Linked DNA regions of Lepisosteus oculatus. The protein of the gene in region 2 interacts with the protein of the main gene of each other region in a pairwise test. Links are inferred from orthologs where the notes say so. Each region holds a gene or a part of one and is shown on either strand. Other genes may lie near its edges.

Region 1 (16,128 bases), on a different chromosome or scaffold from region 2:
AGCCCATCAGTCACAGTTGCAACTGACAGCTTTCTAAGTCCACACCCCAGGAGACCTGCCTCTCTGCAGGGACCAAAGCCACCACCAACCTGCCATCCTCTCCTGCCGGGAGCGAGTGGGCCTGGCTAGAGCTGCGGTCAATCAGCCAGCCCCCGCCTACCCCTCTCCAATGAGGGGGGTGGGCGAGGCTCGGCTTGATTGCTACCAGACCCCGAGAGAAACCCCAGATACTAAGTTTTTTGGCGGGAAAATCTGGACACGCTTAAAAAGGGGGTAGCCTTTGACCTTTTCAAGTCAAAAAGCGATAGGGCGTCCCCTTGCGGCCACAAACTGTAAGCAAAATCTCTCCGCCAAAAAACTCACCAACACCGGGGTTTTTCAGGGCCAAGGGGGTACAGAACTCTGCACAAGAAATCAAAGAACAAAACCAAGGTTCAATCAACAATTTATTGAGCGAAAATGGCATACAAAACAAAGCATTACAATACGTCAGTTGCAAAAGCTTCGATGTGAAAATTAACAAGCATTTCAATTACAAAGTGTCAAAGCACGGCTACATTAAGGCTTAATGCTTTTACAAGTCAACGAAAACTTTTGCATGCAACTGCAAGGAAAAACACAGAAACACACATCACGTTACTGTTTCTCCGAGGCTTCTGTCGAGGCAGCGGCCGGAATGAAGACTAACTTCGTTGCATTTTCTGCAAAACAAAAATCAGTATTAACTTTGTAACAAACAGAATCTTTCAATTAAGTCGAAATAAATAGATCCAGCTTTTGTTTTTGCTGATATGTTCAGCAGATAAAACAATTTAAAAAGACTCACAGTTGGGATAAAGCGCTTAGCGTGGTGTAACAAAAAATGTACCAGTTCATTTTGAAGTAGTTTCATTTAAAGGTTAATTTAAAGTCTCAATACTAAATACGCAATACAGCTACAGTGTATCGATTAAAGACTCGCAGATTCTAATGTGCTTTTTTTACGATTTATGAGCAAATTGTTTTCTAAAACAACTTAGTTAACACATAATTAATCCATTTCTTGATAGTTTTCGTTGTTTTAATTGTTCTGATGTAATCTGGAAGCTAAAAATTTGAAACCAAAAAAGAGATATATTAGCAATTTTAACAGAAAATTATTTCTTTAAACAGCAGCCCTGTGTTGTCGGGTCAAAACCATTTCTGCCCCGGAGAAATCTAGTATCGCCTAGTTTGAAGTTTTTTGAGTTTGAGAAGGTACATCATGTTTTCCAACAACAATGTCCGCTTTATAAATAAAAACATTTATACTTACATCGATAATTCCAGCAGCTGAGCCAAGCTCGTCCTGCCCGAAGACACCAAACTGGAAACACAAGACATAATTATTTAGACGATTATTTAAAGATTTAAACCAAAGTTTCTGTAGCAGTCGGCGTTTTCACCAGGGTAGATAGCGCAGAAAATATTTCCAAGAGATACGTGTAACGAAATGAATAAAGCGTTTATACTTATATAAGTGCATGTCCTGCCCGAAGACACTAAACAGAAAACACAAAAAAGCAGAATTTAGAATGTAAGACCATTGAAACCAATAAGTATTCTTTGCAAGCGAATTTTTTACCACGAATATAAGAGCACAAACACACAAAATGCTCTGGAAAATAATAATAAAAAACTTTACAAATCCAGGTAAGCTATTTCGGTTTGGATAAATGCACACGCTTGATTTTGTGAACAAAGACTTAGAAATGTTATTTAGCTCCCAACGAAAATACGTGTTTTACCCCCCTTTCCCCTGCGTGGTGTAGACAACATAATTACACGAGTTAATTTTTATCTACATTAAAATGAAGGAAAAATGAAAAATAATCATAAAAGACGCGTAACAAACTCACTCAGCTCCGCTCTCTCCAGCAGAACCTGGCGCACAGGTGCGCGGGGCGTGGCCTGCGAGAGATGTCATTCGAGTGGGCGTGGCTACAGACTGACGGTGCAGGTAGCTATTTTTCTTGGCTCCACGTGAAAACTTATTAAAGATATCGAGCCTGTTTACAGAAGCCCCCATGAATTACAAATTCAAAATCATTTTTCCCATGGCCATCTGAGTAAATCACAGTTAGTGCATTTAATCCTTATTAGTCTTTGAGAGCCACAGGAATGTGAATGAAAGAATTTAGCAATATGTAGGTGAGCTGTGGGGTCTGAAGTTCTTTGCAGGACGCTTACTGTTCTATAACCTGATCTATCTGTGCTGTACTTGCTTTACTTAGAGACCAAAGTAGGGAGATCTCATTGAATTAACAGAGTACAGGAGAAGAGGAAAGAGGATGAACATAAGCAAATGCTCATGACATATCAGTCCCTCATCCTTGAGTGTCAGTGAAACGGGTGGAGAGCATAGTCTCTCAGCTGAAGCTGGCTGTAGGGGATTTGAGTTTCTCCTTTGTGATACATCGACTGAGAACACCATTCCAATCATAGCAGGCATTGACAAGTGCTCTGACATAGAAAGAGAAATATTAAGGGTTAGATATCACAAATCTGTAGATGTATAAGTATATATAAGCTATAATCAAGTCATTATCTTTCTCATTATCTTTGTTAATCTGTTTAAGTAGATTGAGCTGTTCTGAAAGGTTTAGAAAGAACACACATCTAATACTGTCCAAGAAAAAGGTATTAAAACTATGTCATAGTGTCCCTAGAAGGCTTCTGTAAGAATCTTGCATTTTGGCTCAAGCCCAGGCTGTGGTGTTTCTTTGAGCCAAAATGGCTTCTGAGCAGACAGGGATCAGGAAGCAGGTGTGCAATATTGAGTTAGACACACCTGGCCACTCCACATGAGGATTTTAGGGCTTTTGGGATAGGTTCCTACAGAATTAGCCAAGCCCCTGTAATTAATGAAGAGGCTTATAAAAGCTAAGCCTGGAGGACAACATTTAGAGGGGGATTTGAACTGAAAAGGAACTTAATTGTTATTTATTGGGAGTTGTATTGTTAATATTTTTTGTGGCTCTAAAATACTGGCATTGGTTTTGTGAGAAGAGCAAGATGTCACTGGCTTTGAAAACTCAACCAGAACACTGTTAGTGAAGCCAGCTGATCATCTTTTAGACTTGGAAGTGCAGTGAGTGATGCTGTCCAGTAGGGAGAGCTACATGTACAGAGATGTGCAAAAAGAATGTGTACCAGCTCATGGGTAAACTATAATGGGGTGAATTGAGGTTGTGGATTAAATTTACCATTGCTGAATATACAGGTAGATGTTCAGGGTAGGGTCTTGCATGTGAAAACAACCTGAGCTTTTCCATAGCTTAATGTCTTGATTTCTTTCCAGGATGTGCTATAGGTAAGGGTTAGCTAGCTGCTCTTTTGTACTTCCTCTGAAGGCAGTATAGCCTTAAGTACAGACCTGAAACCCCCTGCAAAACTGAGGCTTCAGGGGTGTGTACAATGCCTTCCATTAAACAATCTTTTGTCTTGGCAGCACACTGTTGCAGGAAAGATGGTATTCCACAAGAATCCCATTCCGAGGGACTAGGTTTGCAGGCTCTCGATGAAAGCTATATACCAGAAAGAGCCCAGTGTGTTCCTGTCTTGGATCCAGAAACCCAGCTTGACCCTGCTGCACAGCCAGTGAGGAGAGATCCCTACACTGAGATCCCAGGTAGGACATGGCTGAACTTGTTTCAGCTTTTGAAATGAGTGAAGATTAAAGATACCCTGGATAAATGCATCAGTCTAACTACCTAGTCCCTTTGTATTAAAGTGAACTTCCCTATGGCAGTATCCTCAAGTCTGGTGTGGAGGTCCTTCAATGATGGCTCATGACCTGGGTAAGACGAGGAGCTCATGTGCTCCAAGCCTGTGGAGTCCAGAGTGTGACTAGCCTGGGTAGGAATGTTGTTCAGTGTGTGTGTGTGGTGTTGGGACTTGGTCATGTCACCTGTCCTTTCCCCCCTGCTGAAAAAGAGCCCTGTTGATCAGATAGGAACAGACTAGCAGCTGAAGCTTTATAACGGGAATGGGACTTCATCTGCCACTCCAATGTGCAGCAAAGCTATTTGGTGTGTATGGTGATCCTCTGACCTGTCATGACCTTGACCCTGATCTTGTAATGGCTGTATCATGTCTGTGCAATAAAGTGGAGGTTTCACTGGAAGTCTTTGTATGCTGCCATTACTTTCTTTAAACTATTACTTGGACATCAGACACTGGTCCCACAACACCAATGCTTTAGTGCTGTGAAGATCAGTGGGAGGACAGTAATTGATAACTATGCTTTCAGTGGCATTTTTTTTTTGTTGTTGAAATTTTAAAACACTGCCATCTGCAGGAAAACTTGCTACAGTATCTTAATGTGTCAAGGGGGAGGTTGGGGATACTAGTTACGTCTTAATAGACATCTTGCACCTTGGACTAACCAAGGATTCCATTATGTAGTTCTCACACCTGTAGTACACAGATTAAATAGCCTGAGACTGTGTCCTACAGTTGCAACTATTGACAGGACCAAGGGACAACAGGCTTGGCAGTGTTGCTGTCCACAGCAACCCAGGTACTAAACTGGATTTTCTGGGTGAATTACCACCTCGGCTGTGGTTGCTGACTGCAACTGCGGAAGGCCAATTTCCTTTATCAGAGGTACAGAGACACTAAACCCACATGTTCAATTTGTGTATGCAACCTGCCCCAACTGCTAAAGAGCCTTGAGCTGTTATAGTGATGGGAATTGTGTCCGCCACAGTGTGTACATAGTTCATAATTCCAACAGTCTAGAACTCAGTGTTACTATGTTCACTGAAGCAGGAAACATTCATATTGACTAAATATGATGAGCAGAGAGGAACTTAATGTTTTTGTTTACTGCTATGAAAAGCAAAACCAACTGCTGCAAGTTAAGGGGCAAACAAAATTGCAGATATTAACCTCTAAACTTTAATCTAGTGCTTTGAATTTTCAGGGTACTGACAGAAGTTCCTGTAGATGGTCTGGCACTTACCTGAAAAGGAAGGTGCTATATCCTTTACAATAAAAGCAGCACCAAAGCTACTTTCAACAGCACAAATGAGCACAAGCCAAGGAGGTGAGTTTCATCCTGTGTGCTGCTTGTGAGGGGACAACTTCATGCTGCTGGGAGGAGCAGATCATTTTAATATTCCTCTCCCTCTCCCCAACACACCAGTGAATGCATTGCATGCAGATGACATAACCCAGCTATACCAACAAAGTGCACCCACACCACCTGTCCATACAGAAAAGGGACTTTATTACAGAGGACTTAATTTACAGGGGATGGTGGAGGAGGAAGGGGGCCGTGAAGGGTTCTCCGGGCTCAGGTCTGGTCTTGCTGCTGAGAACTGTGCTCTTTCCTCTTGTTCTGCTGCTGGATGGACAGCTCTTCGTCCAGCCGCTCCTTGGCTCGCGCCACCTGTGGACACAGACGCAGCAGCCCCGTTCATGGCCCCTGCTTCACTGAGAGTTTCAACGCAGGTCAAAAAAATAACATGAAAAAGACCACGACACTCCAGTATCACCACAGCAGATAATGCTGTACGAGATGCAACACCAAGCTCAAAATGCACTAGTTGTTAGTTTGGCCTTGTGCAGAGAGGTTTGATATCTCTTGCTCAAAGATACCCGCATCTACAGAATTTGAGAGTGACAGCACTCTCCATTTTGCAAGACCCTGTACAGTACTTGAAACGCATACTGTAGATGACTCGTACATTCCCTTGTGATCAAGCAGTTTACCCGAGACCATGAACTGCTTGTGTTGAGACAAAGACACAAAATTGGTTCTGAGATTCTCCTGCATAAGCTATTTCTCTTTAAAACTGACTGAGATGGACAACCCAGTTCCCCAAGAATCTAGACCCAAGCTTCTGTGAGCTGGACGGGACAACTACGGGGCCCAAATGTGTGAACATAAAGGAGACAGAACAAGGCATCCACAAAATACTGAAAAATCACCTTTGACTGCAGATAGAAGGACCCTCCAACTGCCTTGTCATTCACTTTAAACAGGTGCTCATAGTTCTGAGGGGAAAATGGGGAAAAAACATTAAGTTGAAGTTGAGCATGTCAGAAACGATAAGATTCTCATGAATCTTTCCTAGAAAAAAGATAATTGTCATTTGTAAATGATACAGATAACAGCAAGGAGCCTGCACCCTTGGTCCTGGCATGAGCAATGATACAGCCCGGGTGGGATGTTAGTTCATCAGGGCGGTGTTGGCGAGATTTGTTGCATTGGCGTGGTTACAATTTGCCGCTAAATAATTTCCCTTAGGGGATAATAAATCTTGAATCTCTTTGAAACCGTTCCCGGAGGCTTAAATTCCACCTCTTAACCTAATGGAGCTGATCGTGTGCTCAACAGGACCAGTTTGTCCCGTCTCAAGGTTTTCAGCAGTTGGCGATTTCAAGTGACCTAGCAGACCGACTGGCCTCGGAGGCCTGGAGGTGTGCGGGAAGGTGGGAGAGGGGGCACACCTTCTGGATCTCCTCCGGGGAGAGCTTGGAGATGTTGAGGATCTGCTGGGCTTCCTGTAGCGTCATGCCGGTGATGCTGGAGGCTGCGGCCGACTGCTGGCCTGCACTTCCCCGGGCCTCTGCCGCTGCCCTGCTAGCTACGCAGAGACACAGGCGGAGCTCGGGTTAGTACGTGAGGGGAGAGGGGGGGAGACTCTTCAACTAGGACAAGCGATCAAGCGATCAGGCCAGACACTGTTCGAATTTCACATCTGTTTAATTTTTAAAAAAGGCATCTATCTCCCAACATGACACCCTGTATTTGGAACCCAGGAATACATGCATCATTTTCACCGCGTCACTAAGTTACGCACCCAAATTAGAAAGGGCAAAGGGAAGAACTGAGGAGATGTCGAGTTATGCAGCGAAATAACTTTCACCTCTGCAGGTTTCACTTTTTCATGGCCCGGCGACGGGCTCCATGCTGCAAAAACACCAGCTCTTCTCTCACAGACGAGCTCCGTTATAGAAGCACGTTACAACGTGAGAAAGCAAAGTGCAACTACAGTAAAAGATATAGAGCCGAGTGTCTACATGATGGAACATGACACACGGTAAAATATGCAATAGAACGGGCCTGGGGGAGATACTGTAGACTGCCATAATGCTGAACAGGTTTATAAGGGGTGTCTCCGTTTCTGCCGAAGGGTCTGATTAGGGACTCACCAGCGAATTCCTGTCGCAGTGCCCGGGCAAAGGCTCTCCCCACCACCTGTGCTCCCATCACGATGATCTGAGCCAAGTACCTGGCCTGCAGGACAAGACAGAGAAGGTTGAAAGTGAGAAGCCATTCATCCCCTTTTTTTCAGCTTGGCTGCTACCAGCTTGTCCACTTAGGAGTCTGACAAAGCCTTTTCTTCCCAGGATAGCAGGGAGTTTGTTGTTCCTACAGAGCGGTAGGCATCTCCAGACCTCCTGTGATGCATTGGTTTCTGGTGCATACACAGGCAAAACGATAGCAGGAACACTAGTGTTTGTCTGCAGTTGTCTGCCTGTGCTACGGAACATTTCTGTAGACATTTTTAGGACATCCATAAATTCCAGATAACCGGGGTCAACAGGTGTTCTGTAATGCAGAACATTCACAAACACACGTCATCCCACACATATTACTATATATTATATATATTAACTATATTATAATCGTTTTTTTAAATCCTTTTAAAAATGTACAAAATCTGTCCTTGGTAGTACAAGGTCAATGGACATTAAGCAGACAGTACTGAGATATCGTCCTCAGAATGACAAGCAGTGGGTTTTATAATACTCAAAGGCCCCTTCGAGAACAACAACAACAAAAAATATATATATATAATCTTACTTAACTGCTATGCGGCAGTCTAGTTTCGTATAGCATCAGGTCAGAAATGTTGAGCTACCTCACGTGTAACACTGCAGCTTATTAGCTAATGATCCCCTCCGCTTTATCACTTCTCTGTAACAGCTATAAACCATTAAAAGCATTTACTCACCATAACATATACTTAAATCTACAGTGTAGTTCCTACTCCTCTGTCACATGTACCACCAGTCCAGAAATCATTCAAGGTCACCCGGGGTTCAGAGGTTAAGGGGCAGCAAGATACAACAAAGATGAGAAGAGAAGTAAAATGATAAAGCAGCTCAAAGCTGGAGAACACTGCCGACTAGTGGCTGGTGGTTATAACTACAGTCGTTTCTGAAGGACTAGGAGAATAAACACGTTGAGCGTGTTTTCAGTAATATTTTGAGACAATTGGACCCCAATTTGTAACGACAGCTAAAAATTGATTAAGTTAATTTTCTGTTTTTCAGACTAAAGTAGTAGGTACCCGTATAAACTATGCTGAAGGTGTCTCCTTATTCTTAAAATTGTTCTTTTTGCTTTCAAACTGTATCTTGACAATTGATCAGACAACAGATTTTGTTATCTTCAGGGCACCTGTTTTTATAGTGTCAACCACAATCGCCATCTGGTAAACGTGAAAAGTTTTCTCTAAAACGCTGTTAATGTTTTGGAAAAAAAAACAACAAATTAATCCCCATTCTCGTCATTCAAAAGAAAGCCAAACACCCACTAACACAAATTGAGATATCTAAAAGGGAAACTAAGATGCCTTCCATTCATTTTCAAATACTGTACATCGATGAGAACCATATATATACAGTTATTGCTACAGCAGCATTGGTAAGCCCAAATTCCAGAACTCACTTCAAATATTGCCGAGCATATTTCAGGTGAAGGCAAAACAAAGAGAGTCCAAACACAGAGTTTTTGTTTTACAGTTTCTGTTTTATTTGTCTACAACACTACATAAAAGACATAAAAGAACAGAAAGAGAGAAGGAAAAGAGATGCATCTTGTTGATTCCGAGTATAAAAACTGCCCAGCCTGAGAAAGAAGTGGGTTGGTTTGTCCCCAGGGCCCAGTGAGATGAGATGAACTGGACAGGGCACGGCAGGGACAGCAGTCGCTCCTGGCATAGCCTCAGTAAGAGGTGTGTGTTCCCTAAATGTGTGTGTTGCATCAAATGTTTACGCCACAGCCATCAACACCTGGCTTCTCCATTTAAAGCAATACTGTGTCCAGTAGGAGTGCGGTGTATTTGAGCAAGGAAGAGGTTGAACTGCCACCCAATCTGAGCTCACCTACATCACAAAACGTACCAACTCCAGACACTGAGTATCGGCACGCGCCAGGCGGCATCCAGATTGCAAATAAAGACAAAAGCAATAATACTGGATTGTACTGGAAAGCCTCTTTATAAAACAGTACCGTGCAGCTTGAGATGTCGATGCAGAAAACGCAGAGCGAAGCACTCTGCCTCTCAGCTTCTTTAGTTGCACAGTGCATTGCGCAATTGAGTGTTTGAGGATCAGGATCATGAGATTCCCAAGGACAAATTCTCTCTTTTGTTGAGTTTCAAGGAGTGATTTGTGCCAAGAGAAAAGCATTTCCTTTCAAAACGCCTGTTGTTAAAGACGGCCAGGTGGTCAGCAGTAAATGGTCTGTAAGGAATCGCTTGACGCCCTCAGATCACTTCACTGCTTTGGAGAAGTTCAATAAAATACTTTCCTTTGGAACCGAAGAGTTGTGGGATTAGTATGTGACAAGCCATGTAGCACCTGCATCTGCTGCTATCTGGGTACAGGCTGACTAGACTGGGCTCTCTGTGTGTGATTGACTGGGTGCTGATGCCTTTCAAGTCGTACAGCAGGTCTTAAAGCTCTGAAGACAGGCAGGCAGGGTCTTACGGTAACTGTGGGGATATAGAGAGGACCCCAGCTCTGAAGACAGGCAGGCAGGATCTCACAGTAACCATAGGGATACAGAGGGGACCCCAACTCTAAAGACAAGCAGGCAGGGTCTTACAGTAACTTTGGGGATACAGAGGGGACCCCAGCTCTAAAGACAGGCAGCCAGTGACTGTTAGAGGCAGGGTGGAGGGGGACTTGTGGGAGGGGTAGAGTCCGGAATGGCAGGCCGGGTGGGGTTCAGAGGCAGGGAGATGTGTTCAGAAACGGCACGACGATTCCCAGGCAGCTTTTTATCGCTACAGGCACCCTGACTGGTCCCAAGGATCTGGTCCCTTTAGTCATCCTGAAACACAAAACACAACATCGGATTATTTTCCCCCAGGGCACCGTGAAAGGGTCCGTACAGCCCCTGTACCTACGAGAGCGCGCCTGCGGGCCGTGAGTGTGTGTCTGTGCAGTGCTTTGTTTGTCCGGTGGCGGTCAGTGGGTGCAGTGTGTGTGGCGCCTCATGGCCTCACCCACTCATCCTCTTCCACGCCCTGGTAGGAGTCCTGGGGCAGAGGGTCCTCCCGGTTCCCCAGTTTGGCCACCATGGCGCTGAGCAGCTGCAACACAGCAAGAAACAGTCAGAAACAGGACCCCGGTCACCAGTGGCCACTGCTGGGCCCAGTTCTACATTGAGAGCTGGTAACAGTGGAATAGTGATCTCTCTGTAGGGTGGGTACTGCCTCTCAAGGGTGTGTCAGAGACGCCCGTAGCTCTGTGCAGGGCCGTGTGTGAAGTGGAGAGTGTGTGTCGGAGCTCTGTGCAGGGCCGTGTGTGAAGTGGAGAGTGTGTGTCGGAGCTCTGTGCAGAGTCGTGTGCGCGATGCTGTGGAGGCCGGCTCAGTCTACCTCCTCCTTCTTCTGTTCGTCAGTCTTCTCCTCGAGGTACACTGACGAGGGCAGGTACTTCCGCACTGGTGCCTCCTTGGGGGCCTCGCTCACTACAGAGACAGACACACGAGTCCCGATGTTCAGCACAGAGCTCTGCGCGAGCCAGCTTCCAGCTCCAGCGTTCCACACCCAAAACACAATTATTAGCCACGAGCATCCAGGTTGTCCTTCCTTATCACATTATATTGATTATTCAGTCTTGCATCCTGATTACAAAATGCATCATCTTAATTAGCTAAACCCTTTATGCACATTTGACATCGATTACTTCTTAATTAAAGCTAGAAGCTGTCACGTATAACTGATCCAACAGTTTACGTCTGGGGTTGCCAATCCCAAGCCTGGAGAGCCCCATTCAAGTAAGTCTTAAAGGCCAACCTGTAAGTTACTGATGAATTAAGCATGTGCTGTACTCAATAAAGTGCACCCTGATTCTTGAGGGCTGAAGGGCTCAGATCCTTGTTCCAAATGTTCTCTGCATTACTTAACCAATACTTAATGAATGACCATTGAAATGGATCACAGTTACAGGTACTTCAAGCCATTAGAAGTGAATGATTTAATGATTTTCGATCACATTTGCTTGTCATACAGCTCTCCAGGACCAGGACAGGAGATTCCTGACTTAGTCTAATACTGAGAGACTGATCAGAAATGGGATTATTTTCCTTATTAGTTGGACATGCAGTAGCTTGATTCATGTTAGCCTATTCCATGATGTCGAGAAGACAAGAAAATCAAGCCATCATAAGCACTTTGCAAAAATGTGCTGAAAATGCATCACATTCAAGCCATCGGAAGATGCTTTTTTGCAGTTATTGACTGGTGCAAGAATGGCCCCGATTTCAATTGAGCGCAATGAAAGAGCAGGGTATCTGACATCGCTTGGCCATGGTTCTTGCTCCAGCAGTGGCGCAGTGGCCGCGCTGTCCTACCAGGAGTCATGTCCTTGGGCCGCAGGCTGATTCTGCGGTGCTGCCCGTTAGCTCCCGAAAGCCAGGCAGAGGCCGCCAGAGCCGACTCCCACCACACCGCGGTATCAGGAAAGAGGTCATCCTGGAAGAACTCTTTCTGTGGAGCGCCGAGAGAAAGACACGGATCAAATCAGCCCACTGAACTGCAATTTTCAAAATAAAGATGACAATAGGGTGAATTAAGCCGACAGAGTAGAGTACCAAGGTGGAAATAAGACTCATAATGCACAGCACTGCATTGCACAATATTTCAGGTGCTGTGGTCTGTAGGCTTTTGTATATATTTCACTGATCCATCAGAAAATGTTAAACATGCTGTATGACTTCATATCAGCCTATCCAGGATAATCAAAATTACATAAAAACCTCATTGAAGAAGCCTTTGAATAGTTATTAATAATTTTTTTAACTGCTTTATTCAATACAGGGTCACGGGGAAGCCACAATCTCTGCAAACAACGGGCACAAGACAGGGTACAATCGGCCAATTAACCTGCCTTTGGACTGTGGGAGGAAACTGCAGCACCCAGAGGAAACCTATGCAAACCCAGGGAGAACATACAGACTCCACACAGACAGTGCCCCAGGAATCAAACCCAGGGCCCCAGCGCTGTGAGACAGCAGTGCTGACTGTGTCACTGTGCCGCCCCTGTATTAATCAGGGCAATCCTCATCAATGCATCAAGCAGTTTTTTTTCTTTTCTAGGCTGCAGTTAAATCACATTATACACGCAATGTGTGTGTCATGCATCAGTTGGAGTATATTATCAAGGCTGCCTAAGCATGGACTTTTCAATTCCACTGAAATGTAAAAATATTTTTCGAATTGATTCTTCCTTACTTGAGAGATCTTCCATAGCAGGCTCTATTAGGTAACTAAGTGGCTACAGTGGTCTTACAGTGGAGGTGAATTGAAGTGCCACGACATCCTACCCCCAGTAATGTCAGTCACAATCTCGTGTACAGCGTGCGCTAACCTTGACGCGGGGCACACGGAACGCCACGGGTTCGATAGAGGTCTTGCTGAGCCGCAGCGCCCGAGCGAACTCTACGTCAGGCACGTTACACTCCGTCTTCGGCAGGAAGACGAGGCCCTGGAAACAGGAAACAGGAAGCTGGTCAGGCGACTGACGACGACAGGGCAGAACCCTACAAGACCACTACAGATTCAAGAGCTATTCCTGAATCATTGCCAGCGACTGAAGACCAGGGGAAACCACTAGATAATGATCAATTAAAAGTCCTTAGGTCTACCCACTCCTCAAAATAATATCAACAATAATAACAACAAAAACGAGAACTCCAATAAAAGTCCGCAAGTCCCACCAGTCCAAAAGCTTCCTTTTTGCAATGAAAGTCCTAAAGAGAACATGGAGGTGGTTTGGGACAAAAATGGGGGCGCATTACACTTGACAGTTTTGCCTCTACACACTTGAGTGCCAGCAGTACACAGATGAATGAAGATCGGGTACCTTATGTGGCTCGGAAGAGTTAAAATGGCTACACTCTAGGAAATAGGGGGACTCCTGCAGGATCTCATAGATGTACACACGGGTGTCGCCCTGCGGGGAGGAAAACAAACACAGCCGCATTTATTCATGAAGGCATCAAAGGGCCGGGTTGTTTATCTGTCCGTAACACGAGAGGGGCAATTACTCTGAAACAACAGCCTTTAGAAATTCCACCTCTTTCCCTGGTCAAGGTCAGAGGAAAAGAGCAGACAGGGATGCAGGATTCATTACTGAAAAGAAAGAAATTATCTTCTAGTTCCATCAGCTAGTTTCAATAGGTTTGTGGTTTATATGGGAAATAGCAGTTTGGTCTCAATGTATTTCCTAAAACATAATGTTTTCTACACATTTTACCTAAAAACATTTCAGACTCAGGTTATGCAAGACTATGTTTCTGTAAGCTGGACACCAGTCAGAACCTGAGACCTTCACTTGACACTTATTCTTGAGCCATTTGCTGTCCTATTCTACACATTGCTTAAATCACATGAACGCATTTCTAATATAATCATATGAATATACAAGTAATAGGTTTATTCCATGCTGAAAAAAGAAGAAAGAAAACACAACCTTTCGGCTGTGGAGCCTTCTTCAGGTGTGAATATACTGTACGCATATGAAAATGAAACATATTTGTTTCCTCTAGTGTTGCTGTATGTCATTTCAACATCGCACAAACCACCTTTAGAATAAATCTTCCATCTATCAGGCATGACTGCAGCAGCAAACGTTATAGGAGTTAATGAAAAATAAGTTAACTACAGAGCATCTACACAATCAATATGACGACGCCATCAGCCTGGGACGTGGAGCGTATCCTCATGTCTCTCCACGCCAGACTTTCTCCACACTATGAGCCTGTAAGTAGTTTCCACTTATCTATATGCTTCTATAAAAAAAAAAACACACTAATTGCAAGTTGTGGATTAATCTACGGAGGTTTTACATCAAGTTTCTGTAACTCAATTGTCACATAATTCTTGCACTGTCTGGATCCTTTTCGACATTGTAATGCATTAGCTTGTTCTTCACCACGTTGATGTATATTTAATAGTAATTAGTTTTTTTAGATTCAAACGGTCTGGAAGCAATTTAATATGTATTACGTAAGTGTCTGACATAATTTGGGAAAGAGCCTGAATCCTACTTATTTGTACCTGTGGGTGTGAGCCGACTGCAGGCAGGACTCGAGATCTTCTGGAAGCTGGCTCAAGCCTATAGAGAAGCAGGCTGCCGTGTGTGCGATACAAAGGGAATCTGCATCATTAGCAGAAGTGGGTCTCAGCCCAGTCCTGACTGAGCCCAGAAAAAGCACACATGACTGTATCTCTTGCACTTGCACACACTGTGGTGAAAGGGCTCACCTTGCCGGTGAGGATGACCGTGCTGGTGTCTTCGTCATAGAAGGGGATGAGGGTGGAGGGGGACACGTCGGTGCCCACGGAAGCCACCGGTCCTGAGGCCAGGGACTCCACCGCGTAGAGGTAGATCTGGCGTTCGCTTCGGCTGCCGGGCAACAGTAACCATAGCAACTGCATCAGAACCACTAACACTAAAGAGGGACACAGTGGGCCCTTCAGCGCCACAATCACGTTCTAACATTCAGAACCTGAGACCCTCACTTGACAATGATTCACATTCACATTCAAGAGACAGTTTACTGAAACAGTTTACTAAATTATTGTATTCAGTTTTGCATCCCCATACAACAATCTTCCAGCCATTGTGCACTCAGTATGCATTCTTAGCTATGCTGTAGGAGAACAGGGTTAAGAATTTCAGTGCTCTATGCTTACTATTTACATAAAGAACATCCTGCTCAGATTAGGAAAGGGAGAGCCTGAGATTTAATCTGATGTCTTGTGATTGTTGTACCTGGTCAGGCACCTACAGTATAAGAATCAGGCATGGAAAAAAGCTTTTCTAGGTCTGACCATAGATGATTGTCTGTTAGAATGAGCAGCATGGTCTTGACATTCATTTTCATTCATTTTTCGGCAATGGAGTGGCGATTTAAGACACAAAATGCCGATGCATCTCACAGAAACCGATGAGGACAGAGTAAGTGGCAGACAGTGTGGTCCAGTAAAACTAGCTGGATTTTAGAAGATCTAAACTACAGTGTGCAGGTGGTGGGAGAGGGGCTATGTTAGTAGCCCAAGCAGTTCCTTCAGGAGCTCTGGACCACCTGTACATGGGGTTTGTGAAAGATGCTGGGGGCTGATCTGAGGCTGGAACTGAGGCAGGACATTTTATATAATCGCCTAAGCTGTACAGCCGAAGGGGGTCGCATCTGGTGCCGAGCTCAAAAACAGGTGTCCCTACCTGTCAAATCCAGACACCAGCAGGTACTGGCCAGCGCAGGCCCACACCACTCGGGCACCACGGGCCCCTTCAGGGCCGGGACCCTCCTGCAGGAGAGAGGCAGGGAGAGAGTCACTCTGGGGGGTTCGAAATGAGTTTTAATCTGTTACAAAAAAGGCCCATCTCTGGAGAACACCCGCCACGAGCATCTTCCTGTAATGTTCTGTATTCAATCGTGCTCAAGGGGATTTTATCATCTGAGCACAGTCAATTTCTGGGGTTACCATGTCGTGTTTAGGAAAGCCATAGGACAAACATACTGTATATATAGAATTAACCTTTCAGTCCTACATGCACATTTCCATATTTCAGACAATGGTTTGCTCTACATAGTTTAAACGTTGCATTAATTTTCTGTAAATACTACACAACAGGTATTTGTGTCCAAAGCATTTCATCACCTTTAGTCACATTTCATACAGTACAATCGATCCTACAGGAAACACAACAAGACATTGCTCAATGTGTCCATGGTACAGGACGGAAACAAGCTAAAGTCATGCAGTACAGCATGCGAACTCATGCCACGAGTGTGAGGTATTTAAATGGCACAGAGCTTGGCCAGCGTGAACGAGACTGTCTTACCTGAGT
Region 2 (17,049 bases):
TTGACCCTGTGCCTCCAGGTTTCGTTTCCTAAAAGCGACAGAGGGCTGTGACTGTCACCGAAGAGAGAGCGTACCTCCTGGTCAGAGAGATTGCCGTTGAGCCCCTCTGTATTCTGGTCGTCCCAGCTGGAGCTCGTAGAAGACGCGTAGTTGTCAGTCAGAGCATCCCAGACCCTGCACACACGGCGAGCAGAAGACATAAGAGAAGAATTTAGGTTTTCTGCAGCGACTTTGAGCTGGTTTCTTGTGTGCGAATCCCCCCCCCCCAGACACATCCTTGAGCCCTGTGGGACTGTTGCGCAACAGAGAGGAACAAAATGCACGCAGCTCTTGCAGCAGGGGCTGCCCTTGTAAGGCGCAGTGGGTTGCCTGGCTTCCTTGCCAAATCAGCCGGAAGTCTTGAACAGGAAAGGCAGAGAGAGGCTGGCCTGAGTCCTCGGCGTGAACGCTTCGGCTGTGATGTGTGCTAACCACTCCCCTCACTGCAGCCAAGCTGGGATTCTGCTTTTGGCATGGCATCATATCGAAAAAGGCAGCTAGATGATGAAATGAATAACAAAGTCGGCTATTTTGTTAAAAAAAACAATCTTTATACATTGAAAGGCATTAAAATGCAACCGGTGCTATAGGTTCCAGTAGTCTATTTTTGCCATTTCAATGCCATTTTAAGTAGACATCCATCCTTTATACATTGTATTTGGTTAGTAAAAAATGCAACTATTTATGTCCTAAAATTCTCTATTTAAATTCCAGTGATACGATATCAGGTTTTATCAAACTGGCAGAGAAATAATTCATGCACCTGGAAAGAAAACGGGCAATATTTGATATTGAACTGGGTTTTTTTATAATTTTTTAAGTATACACAAAACATTACTGCTAGTCAGAAAATATACCGGTAAAGAACAGCAGCATATTTTCTCATTTTAATTCTTAGTTCACAAAACTAAGAGTAAAAGTAAGCGATGTACAAAAAGTGTTCAGAAAAAAAGCGTTCTGAACATATTGTAAAGGTGGATCAAAACACTCTGGAACTCAAGTCAAAATTATTAAAACAAATTATTCTGTAAAGTACAGTTATACCTCAGTTTGGGAAAGGACACAACACCATGTACAGTAGAACGCCCATTATTTATAACAAAGTGTTCCATAAAATATTGATACACATACATCTGAGGAAAAAAAACACAATATAGTCAGTCACTGTTAAAACTAGCTTCTCTGTAAAATACAGATCTACCTCAATGAAGTTGTGTACGCCCCCATCTTCACTTGATGCGTCTTTAAGTACTCTGTTGCCCTTGTTCTGAAAGCTGCATGCCTCTCTCAGTGAGATCCATACTTGAATATGGACAGAGAGAGGGAGAAAAACCTTTTGTTTTTCCAGTCCCATCCCATTTAGTGGCACTGCCAAGCACTAAAGAGAACAACTGTCTGTTCTTTAGCACTTTCTCAACTGTTAGCCTCTCTTGTTTGTGAGCGCTCTCTCCCTCTTCTTCTCTCAGATGACTGGCGCTCGCTCGTACCATCGCTTTCCATCAGTGTGCTCGCTTACCATCTGACAGACCCAAGAGTCTGAAGAGCAGAACGCAGGACAGAAAGGAGATGGAAGAGCGCTCACTCCCCATCAAAACATTTCAGGCCGAGACAAAGTTGAGAAGTTAGTCTAAAGCTCTAAAAGCCAGGCTGACTCCCAGTGCGGGGTGGTCTTTGTGAAATGGGAACCTAACGTTCTGTAAACCAAATCCTCCTTCAATCTGCTCCTTCAAGGAGGTTTGTTTTTTTTTCTTAAAAACCTTCACCTTTCGATGGGCTGTGAAGGCTCTGCTACAAACACATGGGCTCGGATTGTAAAAAGTGAAAACTAGGTGCAGATTGAAGACTATAGCCCATGTGCTGTGAGAGGGTTATGGTGCTAGCTTAAAACTAGTGTGGGTGGCAAGAGGACTCAAAGGTGGTTTCTACCCTTTAGACATGGGAAAACTGGACTGGACAAGGCATAGAACTGTAGGCACAAATCATCAATCCTTAGGATTTTTCTACCTGTACCATAAATTCTCAGATTCCAGTTAATTTTTTCATGCTGGTCAATTAGTCAAATTGAGCGATCTTTAACACTCAGTCTCAGAGTAACTCAGCCAGCATTTTTCCACATGATATCAAGCTAATCGCTCACACCCTGAATTAAAGCACAAATCAGACGGATTAACAGGTTGTGCTTGTATGTTTTGTATTTTAATGTTTCCTCCCTTGAACTGGCAGTTCAGCCAGAAAATAAACTGTAGTCCAGGATCTGTTTAGACACCCTGTGGTTTTGGCTTATGAATTCCACATATAAATAAGGTTTGGAATGTCATCAATACTGAGGCCATGTTTGACCTGCTTCAAAAGGGATATGCATTGATTAGAATTACAATACCCTCAAGCCACTACAGCAGTGTTATTTTTAACACAAAGAGCTATTATTAGATGATAAGAAATTTGACTCAGGACTTTTTCACCTTTGCTGAAGTGGTGGCTTACTGTATAATCAGCAGGACACAGCCAGGGATGAGAGAGGGAGAGAACTGAAACACAGAGAACTGAATTCGAAGAAAATCTCAGAAAATTACTGTGCACAGATTTTTTACACTTTTATGTTGCTCTGGTGGCTCAAGGTCTTGAAAACTGGTGCATAACTCCATGTTGACGAGGCAAGTATTTAGTGTGTTCTTCACCGTATTCTGATGTTGCTACTATTTTATTAATCCACCCGACCATTACCAGTAAGCCGCTTACCGCTGGCAAGGCTGACCATAACCCAGAACCTATCATGGTGGAACAGGGATCAAGATGGCCGAGGTCGGAGTCTACCACGGCTTACACGCACGGACACACGAGGACAATTGAGAGACTCCTTACAGAAACCATGCCGACTTGATTCATTGGCGGAAGGAAACCGAGGCACCTAGAGATAAACCAATGTGACTGGGGGAGAACATGCAAACTCCACGCACAGGGAGCGTGTGAACCGAAGAGATTAAGTGCCTTTAACCTACAGTGTGAGACTGGGAGCCATTCTTGATCCCTTTTCAATGTTTTCAAAGGCTACGATCGCCTTTATGTCGTTTCGTGACACAAATCCAGCACAGTATCCCAAACAAGCTCTTACTGAAGTATCGCAGAGCTTGAGCACCCTTTTCCTTGATTTGTACTCCCCACTTTCTGCTACACACCCAAGCATCCCACTTGCTTTCTTTACCGCTTTCCCACACCGTCTGGATAAAAAACCCGGAAGAGTCCAAATAAGCACCCCAGATCGTTTCGTACACGGTGTCCTGGTTCAGTCAAGCTCTTAAGCTGGATACCCCTGCACCCCCCCCGTATGAGTTCGACACTCACTCCTCGTCCTGGAGCAGCTCCTCCTCCTCCTCGATGTGCGTCTGGCTGCGCACGGGGGCCAGGCCCTCGGTCTTGGTGTTGTAGTTGCGGAAGCAAACGTTGAGCTTCTCATCGAACTCGTTCACCAGGTCCTCCATGGACTTGAAGCTCATCATCTCGGAGAAGTTCTCCAGCTCGGAGAACTCCTCCCGCGCCAGGGGGGCGGTCCCGGCGGGGCGCGGGGGGAGCTGGCTCCTCTTCTCCACCTGGCAGGGTCTCAGGTCCTCAAAGTCTTCATCGAGGCACACCAAGGGGGCTTCCATCTTTCCTGACTCCCTGGCTGGGCAGATCCCGTACACACACGCCTATGGGGGGGGGAGACATTTGTGGTGTATATATGAGAGAAAGCTCAAGAATTCCAAGCTTGTGCTGGAACCTTAATAAACTCTTAAAGATGATTTTGTCCCAAAAGCATTTTATTTAACTGGTTTGCTCATAGATATCTTTAAAACCCTCCTACAGTCCCTGTTCTCATCCCACCATCCTATGGTGTGCTCATTAGAGTACAAGGGAGTACAAAATGAGAAAAGTTTGTGTGGAACGCCCACTTACAGCAAGCTTTCCATTTAATTTTTTCCTCCACTGGCCCGCTGGGAGCCAAAATCTGTCACCTTCGTTATCACCCTGTTTTTACCTCATCGATCTTATGCAGCAAGACTTCTTACATCCCCCGGTTTTTAGGTTTTAATCGTGCTCATAAGGTATGTAAAACTTGTTTCAGAAGCGTAATTCTTTTTCTGCTAGGAAAATAAAGCATTAGAGTATCATACTGGAGAGAGGTGTCCTGGAGATAAATTGCTGATCAAGCAAGAACTAAAGCACTTCCACATATTTTAGTCTATCGGTGTAATCACTCATTCATACAGATATATTTTTAGCAATAATGTGAAAATAGGAATGAGACAGTCCTGTCAATGTCTCTGCTCCAGGGATCCAGCCTATTGTTAATACCAAGGAACTCATTAAAAAAGTTCTAAGATAATTGAGGGAATCAGAAATGTAGCCACATAATGTAATGATGAATCTGATCTCCCCTAATGAGATATTACAAGCTCTTTTGTTGGTCCACATGGTAATCATATGAGTACTTGGCAAGCGAACTGATGAGGACTGTAATTATTTTCACATTATCAGTAAGTGTGTATGCTTAATTCTTGAAGACCTTTTACAGAATCAAAAGTATTCTCATCTGGTCTTCCTTTCCCAAATACGTTCACCGGTGTTTTTCCTTCTGGAGTCCATTTGCTTTCAGCTGTTTTTTACCTATTCTGTGTATTGTGAAAAGGTACCTGGTACATTTTTACCCAAGAGCAAAAGGCAACATTTGAAGGTCTGTAGTAACTTAAAACTTAAAACCTAACAGAGTGTTTTAACGAGCACAATTAAAACAAAACTTCAATTGTCCTTATCCTAAAACACAGTTCTCCCCAATGTCTGGATTTTTTGTTACCTTTTCAATATCCTGCTATCTTCACTCTTTGTGTTGGGGAATCTGATGGTCTGTTTGATTATGATTCCTGTAAGATATTTGTCAATAGTCAGACTTCTGTCCTGTACAATTCACCAGCTGTAGGGATACCATGCATTTTGATGCCAAGATCTTTAGAAAGGATGCCTACTGCTTACTTTTTGTTCAATGCCAGATGCAGAGTAGTCCCTGGAGGGAATGTTGTTCCTTCACATGTAACAGTACTCACAGCTTTGCAGATACAATACAACACAATTCAAAGTAGGGGCTTTTGTTCTGTCAAATGCACATCACTGACGTCTACTCTGAAGTGCTGAAGTAACAATATATAAATCAGATTGAAGGAAAATAAAAAAAACAAAGGAGGTATTTCACAATTTAAATGTATGGCCAGGAGAAGCCAGAGAGATCGTGAGATTATACAACAGATCCATGACCTGACAAAGTTCGTATACACATTGTGGAATACAGAGTAAATGAACTAAAAAATAAAAAAATGTGTTTTTGGATTTCTTTATATTATTAATGTTACTTTAATGAGAAAATCATTGCTACTGTATGTACTGAGAAGCCTGGAAAACAGCCTTACTTGGCCATAAATCAAGGGATGAAACCCATTACTTGATGTTGTAAAGCTATTTTACACAGTGAGGTACAGAGTGCTGGATTTTATGAGGTCTGTAGAGGTCATATTCCTGGAGAGACTGAGAGCCTAAAGTTGCTGACTTGTCTACTACCTTTATATGTTGTTAAGTTTAGCAATATGCAGTTTTCCAATGCTGGTTTTGAACCCCACAATTTTCATTTGAACATCAACAGAGCACAAAAGGACTGATAGAAAAATAACAGCAGATGGAATATTCCAGGACTTGTTTATTTTAACCATATGAACTCGAATTGCTTAAACAACTCCTCATACTATTCAATAGATGTTCCAAGAGGTTGTTTCAATGACAGCCTTAATAATGGTTAAACAATAAAGTAATAACAAGTTTGCCCCGTTACATTTAAATTTGTTAACTCCTATAGATTGCCTCTCAGGCTCTGAAGGGGGAAAAAAATAAAATAAGGAAAATCCTTTCTGAAGATTTTGTGAGAGTATCTTACAAAATAAGTACTCATTATTGACATGAAATGAAATCTGTGTCTCTTTCTCCCTCTCATTGAGGCAGATTTCAGGCCAAATGGATCTGACAAGGCTATTAAACGGAAGAGCATTCCTCAGAGCAAATCATGAGGCTCTAAATTAGTCAGGGACTATGGAAAAAATATCTTTCCAAATAGCGAGGACTATTTTACTGTAATTGGCTAGGGAAAGAAAATTCTGTATGTCCTTCGTGAAGCAATCTTGCATTGCAGTGGTTTTAACAAGCTATTTTTCGTTCGCTGAGAAAGTGCAAAAAAATGGGTTTCATATCAATGAGGACAACAAAAAAGTTTTTGTGCCGTGAAAGCGAACCACTGCTGTCGAGCATGGAGGACAAGAGGGATGTGTGAAGCCTTCTGACGAGGTGCCGTTAAAAAGGATCAGATGAAGGAGACGGTATTCGTGGTGCCAGAGCCAGACGAAGAAAACAAATCCACCTCCTTTTGTTAATCTCGGCAGAGACATGCAAATCTGGGATCTGGGGTGTGCTGGCATTCCAGGGAAAACCATTTAACCTTCACCTGGGCCTGTTGTGTGTTTCATCATCACCTTCTAACCCTCTACTCCCTGCTCGGTCTCCCCCTCAGCGCCGAGACCAGCCCAGAATGGGGAGCATGCAGGGAAATGGTTAAGGAATAACTGCCCCCGTTTTAAATGAAGACAAAATACATCAAAGAACAGACAAATGCCTCCAATTCTATCAATATTTATATCGTGGTCATTTAATTAAAAATGAACAACAATCACAACAGTTTAATTTTAGTTTAATCAGATTATTACATTATCTGATATTTATTAGTAGTAAATACCACAGTCATGTCCATGTTTGTGGCCCTGAATACAGAACTAATATAAATCTGTGTTCAGTTTAGTGCATTTTAAGCTTACCCGTGATCTACATTAGTGCTGTCATCACAATCAGCACTTTCACGCGTATCCATCCTTTCTAAATATGGACCACAAGCAGGCTTTCAGCCCAATATGTCATCAGCAAATCTCACAGAACACTCACATCAGTGTTTAACAAGCTACTGAGAGACATTTGGAAATATCGCTACAGACAAATGAAAGGACTTTCAAAACATCCACCTAAATTCGGAATATTCCCAGGTCAAATCATTTTAGCCACAAAAACAGTATGTATAAACAGAAGGTAAATAAGCGGGTGGATATTGCAAGTGCAGGGAGGAAAGGAGGGGAGCTGTGTAGCTGTCAGAAGTGAACCGGCAGGGATGGAGGGGATGAAAAACAATGGAGGCACAGAGAGGGGAATGGAGAGAAGGGATACGGTACCTGCGATGGATGTGTTTTCCGTTCTCTCGCCGGGGGAAGAGCCCCTCCTAAGCAATGCAGATCTCAGCTGCGCTGCCCGCGTCTGTACATCTCAGCTCCAGCGAAGCAGAGGCAGTCAAAGGCATCCCCCCCTCTCAGTGCAGGAATGAAGGAAAGACAATGGGAACGACGTGTTCCTTTTTTTTCTCTCCTTTTTCCCCTTCTGTTCTCTTTCCTCAATGTGCCGTGGCCCCCCTTCTCAGCGTAAACCTCCCTCTCTCCTGAGCCTGAGAGGCAGAGGATGGTGTTTTTGAATCAGTGGGCAGCCAGCCTCCACAGCAGCCCTATAGCAGACGTCTCCGCTGTGGAGCAATGGAAGCATCACCACGGCGACGCAGAAGATCAGCATCCTCCCCCTCCAATCACTACCACTCAGGGCTTTCAATATTCATGAACTCAGTGAGCTGCGGATGTGAGGCCGCTTGGTACAGTAGCTGTACAGTGAGCCAGGCCTTGAAACGGTTCTGAGCAGCATCGTTAACCTTCCTAGCTGGAATTGGAATTGAACGGCTGTGTGGCATAATGTCTTCCCCTTTGTTTAATTCTCTGGAATGCATCTGTAGAGGTCATTTGCGTTTGCAAGACGGAACCACTGAACCACAGCAGAAAATACAGATGGCACCCCGCTGAGCACAATGGACCAGTTTTAAAAATAAACGGTTGACGGACTGACTCACTGTCTAACACTTTATAAGCACTATAGCTGAACGTCAAGACAAGCTGATAAACACATCCACATCATTTAGAAGTGGTTTCAGAAAGGGACTCCGTCCACAGTTCGAGTGAAGAACAGCTCAGCAATAAGATACTGTAACAAAACAGTGGGTAGTAAATAACTCGAGCTTTCTGTGGCATGTTTGTTCTTTTTAGCTGAACAAAAATGAATATTTTTAAACAATAACTTGAACAACTGCACAATACACTCCACACCCCACAGACATCTAGAATTCCATCCCTAACAGGCCAAATAGAGAGAAGCTCTATCTTAAGAAAAATTAATCCTACCCAGGAACCATATACAATTGCCTTCCGTAAAATAAATGAATGGGAAACCAATTTCCCTGTTTTCACAAAAATGGGAAAAAATGTTTTTAGCTTAAGGATTCCACAATACAGGCGTACATAAGGTTGCAAGTCCTCTTATACAAATGCTCAGGTTACTTATTCAGAATCTGGTTCCTGGTGTGTTTAGAAAAAGGGTCTCTCCCTGCCATATCTTTGGAGATGATGATAATGGTGAGACATGATCTTTGTTCTCCCTTCCTCTTCTTTCCTCTTTCCATCTCCTCTTTCCTTTCTTCCTTTCATTTCCTGTAATTATGCAGTGGTTCTTTCCAATGGAGTCTACCTCAATAATTTCCCTAGGAATGGCCCATTACTGTTGAATGTTTCAATCAATGAAGAACATCATCAGGAACCACTTTTGATCAGCTGTGTCCATTACTTTGTTTACTTGTCTTTTGGCCCCATGACAGCTAGGTAAACTCTGCCCCAAAAAAAAACTTGTTCAAAAAACCTTTGGAGTCGGGCAATCCAGCTGGAAAGTGAAAAAAGCTGGAAATGGAAAAGCATACCAGTAGAGCACTTCTCAGTGGCTATCGATTTAGCCAGCTCTTAAAAAAATGAAATGTCATTGGCAGATCGGTCATGTGAATAGCATGAGCTGCACACTACATTCTCTTTCTCCTTTTAACATGCATTTTCTGGTTCAGATTGTTGGGCGACAGCATTGGTGATCGTGCAATAGCATCTTTGGTGTAGCCAACTACTCAAACCACCCACAAAAAAGTACTTATTTCTGGTGCTTGTTGAGGCAATGTGGAACCTAGGCTAGAAATATGAGGTTCAAGAATGGACCGGTCTTCATGTTGCATGTTGCTCCTCGTCTGTACGTCTTTGTCTGTCTCGTGTTGTGGGCTTGTGGACATTGGATCGAGAATCTTTAAACACAGTCATCCTGGTTTCTCACTTTTCTCCCCCCTTCCCTATGGTCAGCGTTATAGGAGCATAAAGGCACAAACTTCCAGACTCAGAGACCGGTTTCTTCCCACAAGCTGTCAGATTACTGGACTCTACCCCTACCACTGGCTCACACTGAGGTTTTGTTTTTAAGTTGTGGGTTATTTAACTTGTTGTTGCTTCTTTTGCTGCTGTTCTGTGTTTGTTATTTTGGCGATTCCTTTTAATGTCTTTGTATTGGAGCACACATGCAAATAAGCATTTCATTGCACTCGTGCACATGACAATACACTGAACTGAACTGGATGGAATGTCAGTGCATTGCAGGAACATGGGGGCAATTCAGAAACACCAGTTATCATAGCTGGCATGTATTTGGTAGGTAGGATGAACCTAGGAGAGGTTCATACAGATGGTGCCCCTAGCTGCTGTCAAACCCCGGACCAAAAGCTCTAAGGCAGCACTGCTAATCACCCAGAGATCATGTCAGCCCTAATCAAGTCAGCTGTGCCACAATGCCGAGATGAAATGAGATTAGAAATCCAGTGTTATACAAAGTGACATGTAAAAACAGACAAAAGATATTGATATTCTAAATGTTAAGAAATGAATGGATGCCCTTCATCCTTTTCAGCCCTTGTGCAAACTTTCAAATCGGCAAGAAAGCACACACCTATCATGTTGTGGCATGAATGCAAATGGGCTGAAGATGCCCTAACCTAGCAAATGTAATGATTATTTTTACATTTAGATCTCATCTGATCGGAAGGATTTGCTTAATCCTTCACTAGACTTAATCTTTGACATGGTGGTGAAAATATATTGTATATTGTATATCGTGAGGTACTATGTCACCCTCTTTTTAAAGTAGCACAATGGTTAGCATTACAGCCTAACAGCACTGGGGCCCTGGGTTCAATTCTGGACCGGGGTTGCTGTCTGTGTGGAGTTTGTATGTTCTCCCTGTGTTTGCATGGGTTTCCTTCTATAGTCAAAAGACATGGTGGCAGATTATTTGGCTTCTGGGAACTGTGGTCCTGGTGTGAGTGTGCGTGTCTGTGTGTGCCCTGTGATGGACAGGCGTCCCATCCAGGGTGTGCCCTGCCTTGTGTAATTGGATTGAGTGGCTAGAAAATGAGTGGATGAATGGTATTTAAAAAGCCACATGATAAATGTGTAACTCTCTAGATAAAATACTATATTATATATCTAAAGTCCTATTAAAGTAGAAATATGAGAACCATCGTAACACATATGACTCAGTTGATTAGTGGGCTTTAAGTAAAGCCATCGGCTGTTAATTTTTTAGTTTTTAAAGTAATCTGAGTTATTGGTGAGGTATGTCGATTCATGGCACAGTGTGTTCTCTTAATTGTGCATATTTTAGTGCAATCACAGACTATCCTTACCTCTGACATTCGGTGACTGTAGCTCCACTTGCAGTTTTACCACTAATAAGGAGTGGTTTTATGCCTTTGTTGTATCTCAGTAACATTGAGAACAGCAAACAAGCACTTGTTTTTCTTATTTCGATTCATACATTATTCATGGATTTTTGACCTAGGCTGAAAGGTAGATTTATTTTCCACCATAAAACACCCGTTCTATGATGATAGATGTTGAGCTGATGTGTGTAAAGGTGAAGACCTTGTTTTATGTTAACTTAAGAACTTGGTTGCACTACACACCCATCATACCATCGATTTCATGAATTCTGAACTGAAAGAAATTGTTTCACTGGCTTCAGTGTGTCCTAGAACTGAAATATTGTACACAGATCTTCCTGCTCCTCAGTATTCTGGAACAGGGTGAATGCAAGGACACATTTAAGTATGCAGAGATAAACATATACATGTACGTGTATAAAGTATTCCCTGTATACAGAAAGGGAAATGCTGAAAATCATCTAATATTACTGTATATGAATTCAAATGAACATTTGTCTGAGTATTTACACTGAGATTTTTGACGTCTCAGGGAAGACAAATTATGTTAATGTATGGCACACAGCTGGTCTTAGGTCTACATCTGTATTCTGATGCTGATAGCTGAGCACACACTAAGGCATGCAATTCAATTTGACCTGAAGGCACGAAATGCGTAAAATATTGTAATGAATTCAATATGTTTTGCATGTACTGGATAGGAACAATTATCCAATTATATGAAAAGAGAAAATGTAACCCACCCAATGCGTCTTGTATTATTGCTGTGAGCATGTACTGATCAACTACACAGGACCTCATCACAACTACCTCTGCAATTACGGTCACCCATTGCTGTTTTGATTAGAGCTGGATGTCTGTATATTAATGGACTGCCCTTAGGTGGATATAAATGCACTTGCCTATTGTATGAGGATAGTCTGAGTGCTTATTAATCCAGCAGTGTAAACAGTACAGCGCAAACTGCATTAAAAAAATTGTTTGATTTGACTCCGCTGACATCAGAGGGGAGGCACTGGAGCTTTAAGAAAAATATGCAGTTGGACAGCAAACATAGAGCTTAAAAATGTAAATTGGGTTTGCTGAGCTATTACAGACCTCTGGATATCAGTGTCTTTCTCCAGGTGCTGCCCTGTTTTGGCCTTTGGCCTCATGCTGTAAAAGCACAAGCACAAGCCTGCAGCTGGTTTTGTTTGGTATGTTTTGGGAGAAATATTCATCTCCGCACCTTGGTTTGCATTGGGAACATGGGGAAGCCAGGAGCCAGGAGGAACGAGAGGAAGGACAGAGAAACAGGCTGATGAGCTGGAAGGGAGGGACTGGGCTACGAGCTCACAGCCAGAAATGACTTCATCTCTTCAGAGGCTTTCAGTTCACCTGCAGAGAGAGAGAGGAGTGAGGTGTGATGTCATCTTTTTCAAAACGAAAGACTGATTGTGAGCTTACCTCTAAACAAATAGACTAAACCAGGATGTGTAGATATTTAATTATTTAATTTCCAGGTAAAGGCGATGTTTTGAAAATGACGAAACGAGACCCCCGCTGTGTCTTGGCTGTTGGTTTTAGTGGGATTCACAGATTTAGATTTGATTACTAAATGGCCCTTTAATCACAATAACATACCTTCATAATGTGTGTGGATACCGGTATCAATTATTCATGCAGCTTACGAAGCAAGAATCAATTTCCCTGGATATTCAAAGGTTGACATCAAGGTGTTTGTTTCAGTGGGCCACTGTAATCATTTCTGTTAAGATATATTAAAATAATAAATATGGTCTTAACACTTCTTTTGAATAACAACTGGATTTCATTAGATTTCGGAATTGGAGCATGTCATATAGAATATGGAGAGCCTGTTTCAGAAAGTGATTGAGAGAGCATTCGGCAGAGCCTGACCTTTCAGACTCTGATGTAAATCACACTTCCTTCACAGATGAATGACCTGATTTATCTTAATAAGCCCACTCCCCTCACACACACACGTAAGCACTCACCACCCACCACAGAGAACACTCGAAGTGCTGGAGAGACCTCGTTGCTGTGGCAACGTGGCCTGCACTGGTGAATGCTGCACGTGAAGCGGTTGCCGTGGTAATTAGCAAAGGAAGAGGCTCAATGGAAAAAAGGAAGCAGCCGCATCTTGGTTCTCCGTCATCCTCTCAAGTTTCCGTCACCGAAAGAGATGGGTTTTGTGGGGGGGGGGGGATAAGTGTTATGTTTAAATGGCAAAATTTACCATTTTCTTCTTTTAGGCTGTTCAATTAAATGGCTTTTTCACTTGATGAACGACTGCCGTTGCACTGTAGAAAATCGCTGCTCCAGAGCTTGTAAATTGCCACCCTCCCCCCTGGTGTGTTCCAAGACCTGCTTATTTGATTTGACTTAAATTCAGGTTTGAATCCAGGCAGAGTGAACATTTGTTTTCAATTGCTCTTTCCATGCTAAAGAGCCACACACAACATTTACAACTCTTCCCTGCTGCTATAATCAATGTGGTATGAAGCCTCTCTTCGCTCCAAGTGATAAAGGATCTCGGACAAAACCAATTACTGGCAGATCAATACCAATAATCATTACATGCAGCCTTATGCATTTCTTCATCATGTACTTCAACCAGTATGTCTGTTTTTTTAATCAATGTGTTTTGTATCATCAAGGTTGTTTTTTTGTTATTGTTGTTGTTCAAGAGCACTTTTTTAAAAGACAACCGGGTCAGAATCAGATCATTTTAAATGTGAAACAGCGGCTTGCAGTAGGAATCTGGAGCCACGGAAATAAAAATAATAATAAACTTTATTTTATAAAGCGCCTTTAAAGGTGGATTCTCAAAGCGCTTTACAGGATGACAACAACAAAAAATAAAAAGAATACACAAGATAAAAACACAATTACAATATACAGAGGAGACCAAGATGGTGGTACTAAGAAAAGCAGAGGGGTGAAGTTAATTTAAATGTCATTTAACAAGTATTCTCCTCCTCGTGTTAGTGTGTCAATGGTGTGTTACATGTTATTTTTGCCCACTGAAGAGAGTCGTTACCAATGAATGGGATACTACAGATGAAATATATTGTGTGACAATATATTTGTCTTACCAAACATGGCCTTTTATTTACAGGCTGGTGACTCCTGCCCCAGACATGTCGGTTGAGAAGGCACATACTGTAGTGGTAGCCATAGTAACACAAGAACATAAAGTTAGAAATGAGAAGAAACTCTTTAAAACTAGTATGCTTGCAGGTAGCTTCATTACTGTGTCTTGATAAAAGCCAGGATAGAGGCCTAAACAGCACAGCAGGGTAGGTTGTTTCAAACTCCCGCAAGCCTTTTAAGTGAAGAGGAAAACCTTCCTGCAAATTCCTAGACATTAAAAACAGAGATGTTGATTGAAATCAGAAATTTTATTTTAGTGTGAAACCATTCTTATATCACAACTTGTTACTTTACAGGAAGCACTTTGTACAGTATGTCTGTCAAATGGAAATACTTCACCGTTATCATGGACAGAGCAAGTGTTCTAACAACCTGAAGAGTCTACTGGAGATAAGTAATTTTGTCACAAAGGTCATGAGCGATTTTTGAGAGCGTTAACTTTAAAACATTATCTTCAGGCTGCATGGATATTTTAAAATGATTTAGCCTACAATGAGTTAAGCTCCCTTCAAAATAGCAAGCTGTTTTTTTCCTTCTAATGCAATACCTTGTAAATTTGTCCCACAATTAATACATGAAGAAAACAAAAACAAACTGCTTGTCATTCATGATCTGCTGCATTAGAGATATTGAGATAAAGTCGGGTATTGACCTGAAATACACAAAACTAAAACCGCTTTGTTTAAATATTAAATGATAAAAACTGTTTGCAGAAGAAGACAGAGACCCTTAGATGGTGAGGTATCTATCAAAACAAAATACCAATTTCTTTCATAAACAAACGTATCACAACCCAGGAGAGGGCATGAGGTTGCATTATGAAAGATGGTGCCCATTTTTTCAGTTCTGAAGGTGACATGCTGGATTTGACCTTGGGAGTGTCCTCAAGCTACAGAGGTTTATTGGTCCATCAACAGATTCCTTGAAACAATCATACGCATCACTTCATTGGTGCCTAAAAGAAAAAAAGAACCGTTGGGGATCAGAAAATTGATCCTTTAACATGGACCCAAAGCAGACTGATCAGGCCTGATGAACAACTATTGCACTGCTTTCTTCATATTAGCGAAATGGATGCAGGAACAGTAATATTAGACAAAGATTGTTTGGCACCATTGGAACATGTAGTAGAAGAAAATGAGCAGGTTAAAAGTAAGTTCTTAAGGAGCAGTTTAAAAAGAATGTTGTGCTGTAAGCAGTTGATAAATTTGGATATGCGCAATAGACCTTTTGAAGAACGTAAAAGCTCTTGGATTAATAAGGGATCCAAAATTTTCTGTTTTGCTTTATGTCATTTTCAGACATATTATTCTCCTAAAGTTAAATTGGTCTCGTCCAAAGTTCTGCAAGATCAAGATCAAGATCAAAATCAAGATCACATAGCAATCATTGGTTTTGCATGCAGTCATTTTTCATAAAATTGCTCATCATAGTCTTTCTCTTGATTTAAACTGTTCCCTTGAAGATTAGAAAGGCAGTGAAGCAAAACCAAAGGCAGGAAGGCATTATAACATCCGCCCAAAAGGGAAGTGGTTATTCACATTAAACACACTGGAAGCCTGCTCTGGCTTACACCAGTTACACCAGTTCAAACACATTGCATTCACGCACCTTCTAATATCTGATGCACTCTAATGTCCCGGACGAACTGCTGCACCGCATAATCCTTGAGGTAGCCATAGCCTCCGTGCATCTGTAGTGCTTGATTACAAATCTGCGTGGAGATGGGAAAGAGAAAAGGCAAGATCCTAAACCAGCAGGGTAAAACCTACAAACAGCGATGGGTGACTCACTGACCACTGATCTTTCTGTTCTTTCTTCTGTGCGGACAAGCAGATTTCGAATAAAAAAAATGATAGTTATGTCTGCCCTACAAACTTGATGAGAGGGATCTAGAAAAGTGAAGACTTTCTGGAGCCTGATACCCTTTGAAACACTGTCAAAAGGCTACATGCGAGTCATCACGGGCCTGAAAGAACATTGCCTTTGATGAGTCTCTTCAGCACTTGCTACTACACCCCCTGGGTAGAGCACGAGACCTGTCAGGCCTCCTCCTGACAGGCTCACCTGGAGAGCCCAGCAGCGCTCCAGACTCTGCAGGTTCTGTAACGCCTTACAGGAGCGTTCATGCCGGACGGAGGAGCAGAAGCAAATCTGCTCTCGGCGCACTGCGGCCTTCGTCCCGGCAAGCTCATCGCCCGCCCTTACCTAACCTAGCCAGTGGTGCCGTGCCGCGGACATGACTGGACTTCGGCAGATTCCCCGAACGCTGCCAGGTGTGGCCGCCAAAACTCACCCTGAAACACTCGTCGGTGGCAAAGAGCTTTGCCATGGAGCAGAGGGACACGGCGTCATCCCGGTCCTCCTGGAGGGCCGCCGCTGCCTGCCGCACCATGAGCCGCGAGGCCACCAGCTTGGTCGCCATCTCTGCCAGCCTGAACTGCAGGAACTGGAACCGGCAACAAGACACTGAGACTGGAGCAGAAGGAAGGTGACAGACGGCCGGGGGACATCGGGCTCATCGTACTGAGCTGAGGATCTCATTCGGCCACTCCTTGAAGTGAAACGGCTTCAACCACAGGGCTGGGCGGCTTGATCCAGCCCCTCAGCCATGCCTTGTGGGAAGAAGTACCTTCTTCAGGGCTAAAGGTAAACAGCCTTTTTTATTTATTCACTTTTCTAAAAGATTTCCAAATTTCCATTGACCCAAAACCCCAAAAATGTTGACCCGAAACATTATTCCTTCCTTCCTAATGGCAGGAAATGGGTAAACTAGATGGTTGTTATCGTTTTTGATTATATCACCTGTTGCTTATCATTTTTGTATCTCGCAACGACTAAATTCTCTTGGGGAAGCCTGGATAATTGAGCAAAAGTGGAAAAGGTTGTTAAAAGGCCCAGTCTGGGCCTTGTGTTGGACTTGTAGCCCAGCCTTGTGTCCTACACTTGACATTTTGTTTGCCTTTTGAAGTTCTCTTTTCTTCCTTCCTGCTAGACTAAACTAAGTTTACCATGAACGGGGTGTAGAATAGTATAACGGGTCATTTCTACAACACATCTCTACATTACTGCTAAGCCACCCCTCCTTGTGAAAAATAAATGACACAAAGCTTCCTGCCGGG

Evidence for each region.
Region 1: the proteins of fez1 (region 2) and pam16 interact in a two-hybrid assay, tested with the Homo sapiens proteins (2 studies listed by BioGRID and IntAct). The link is inferred for Lepisosteus oculatus from reciprocal best matches to the Homo sapiens genes FEZ1 and PAM16.

The regions. Positions count from the first base shown.
Region 1 is NC_090714.1:3,926,010-3,942,137, reverse strand, and holds pam16 (mitochondrial import inner membrane translocase subunit tim16), read right to left. Parts: upstream 8,084-16,128; 5' UTR 7,992-8,083; coding exon 7,989-7,991; intron 7,268-7,988; coding exon 7,183-7,267; intron 6,615-7,182; coding exon 6,478-6,614; intron 6,022-6,477; coding exon 5,956-6,021; intron 5,414-5,955; coding exon 5,318-5,413; 3' UTR 5,231-5,317; downstream 1-5,230. Other genes in the region: coro7 (coronin-7), read right to left, coding at 10,088-10,096, 10,272-10,358, 10,647-10,738, 11,624-11,759, 12,640-12,756, 13,135-13,224, 14,538-14,679, 15,499-15,584 and 1 more. UniProt on the Homo sapiens protein: Regulates ATP-dependent protein translocation into the mitochondrial matrix. Inhibits DNAJC19 stimulation of HSPA9/Mortalin ATPase activity.
Region 2 is NC_090718.1:7,804,705-7,821,753, forward strand, and holds the start of fez1 (fasciculation and elongation protein zeta-1), read right to left. Parts: upstream 7,673-17,049; 5' UTR 7,329-7,672; intron 4,938-7,328; 5' UTR 4,871-4,937; intron 3,726-4,870; 5' UTR 3,684-3,725; coding exon 3,382-3,683; intron 175-3,381; coding exon 75-174; intron 1-74. Other genes in the region: acad8 (isobutyryl-CoA dehydrogenase, mitochondrial), read right to left, coding at 14,827-14,882, 15,539-15,641, 16,224-16,376. UniProt on the Homo sapiens protein: May be involved in axonal outgrowth as component of the network of molecules that regulate cellular morphology and axon guidance machinery.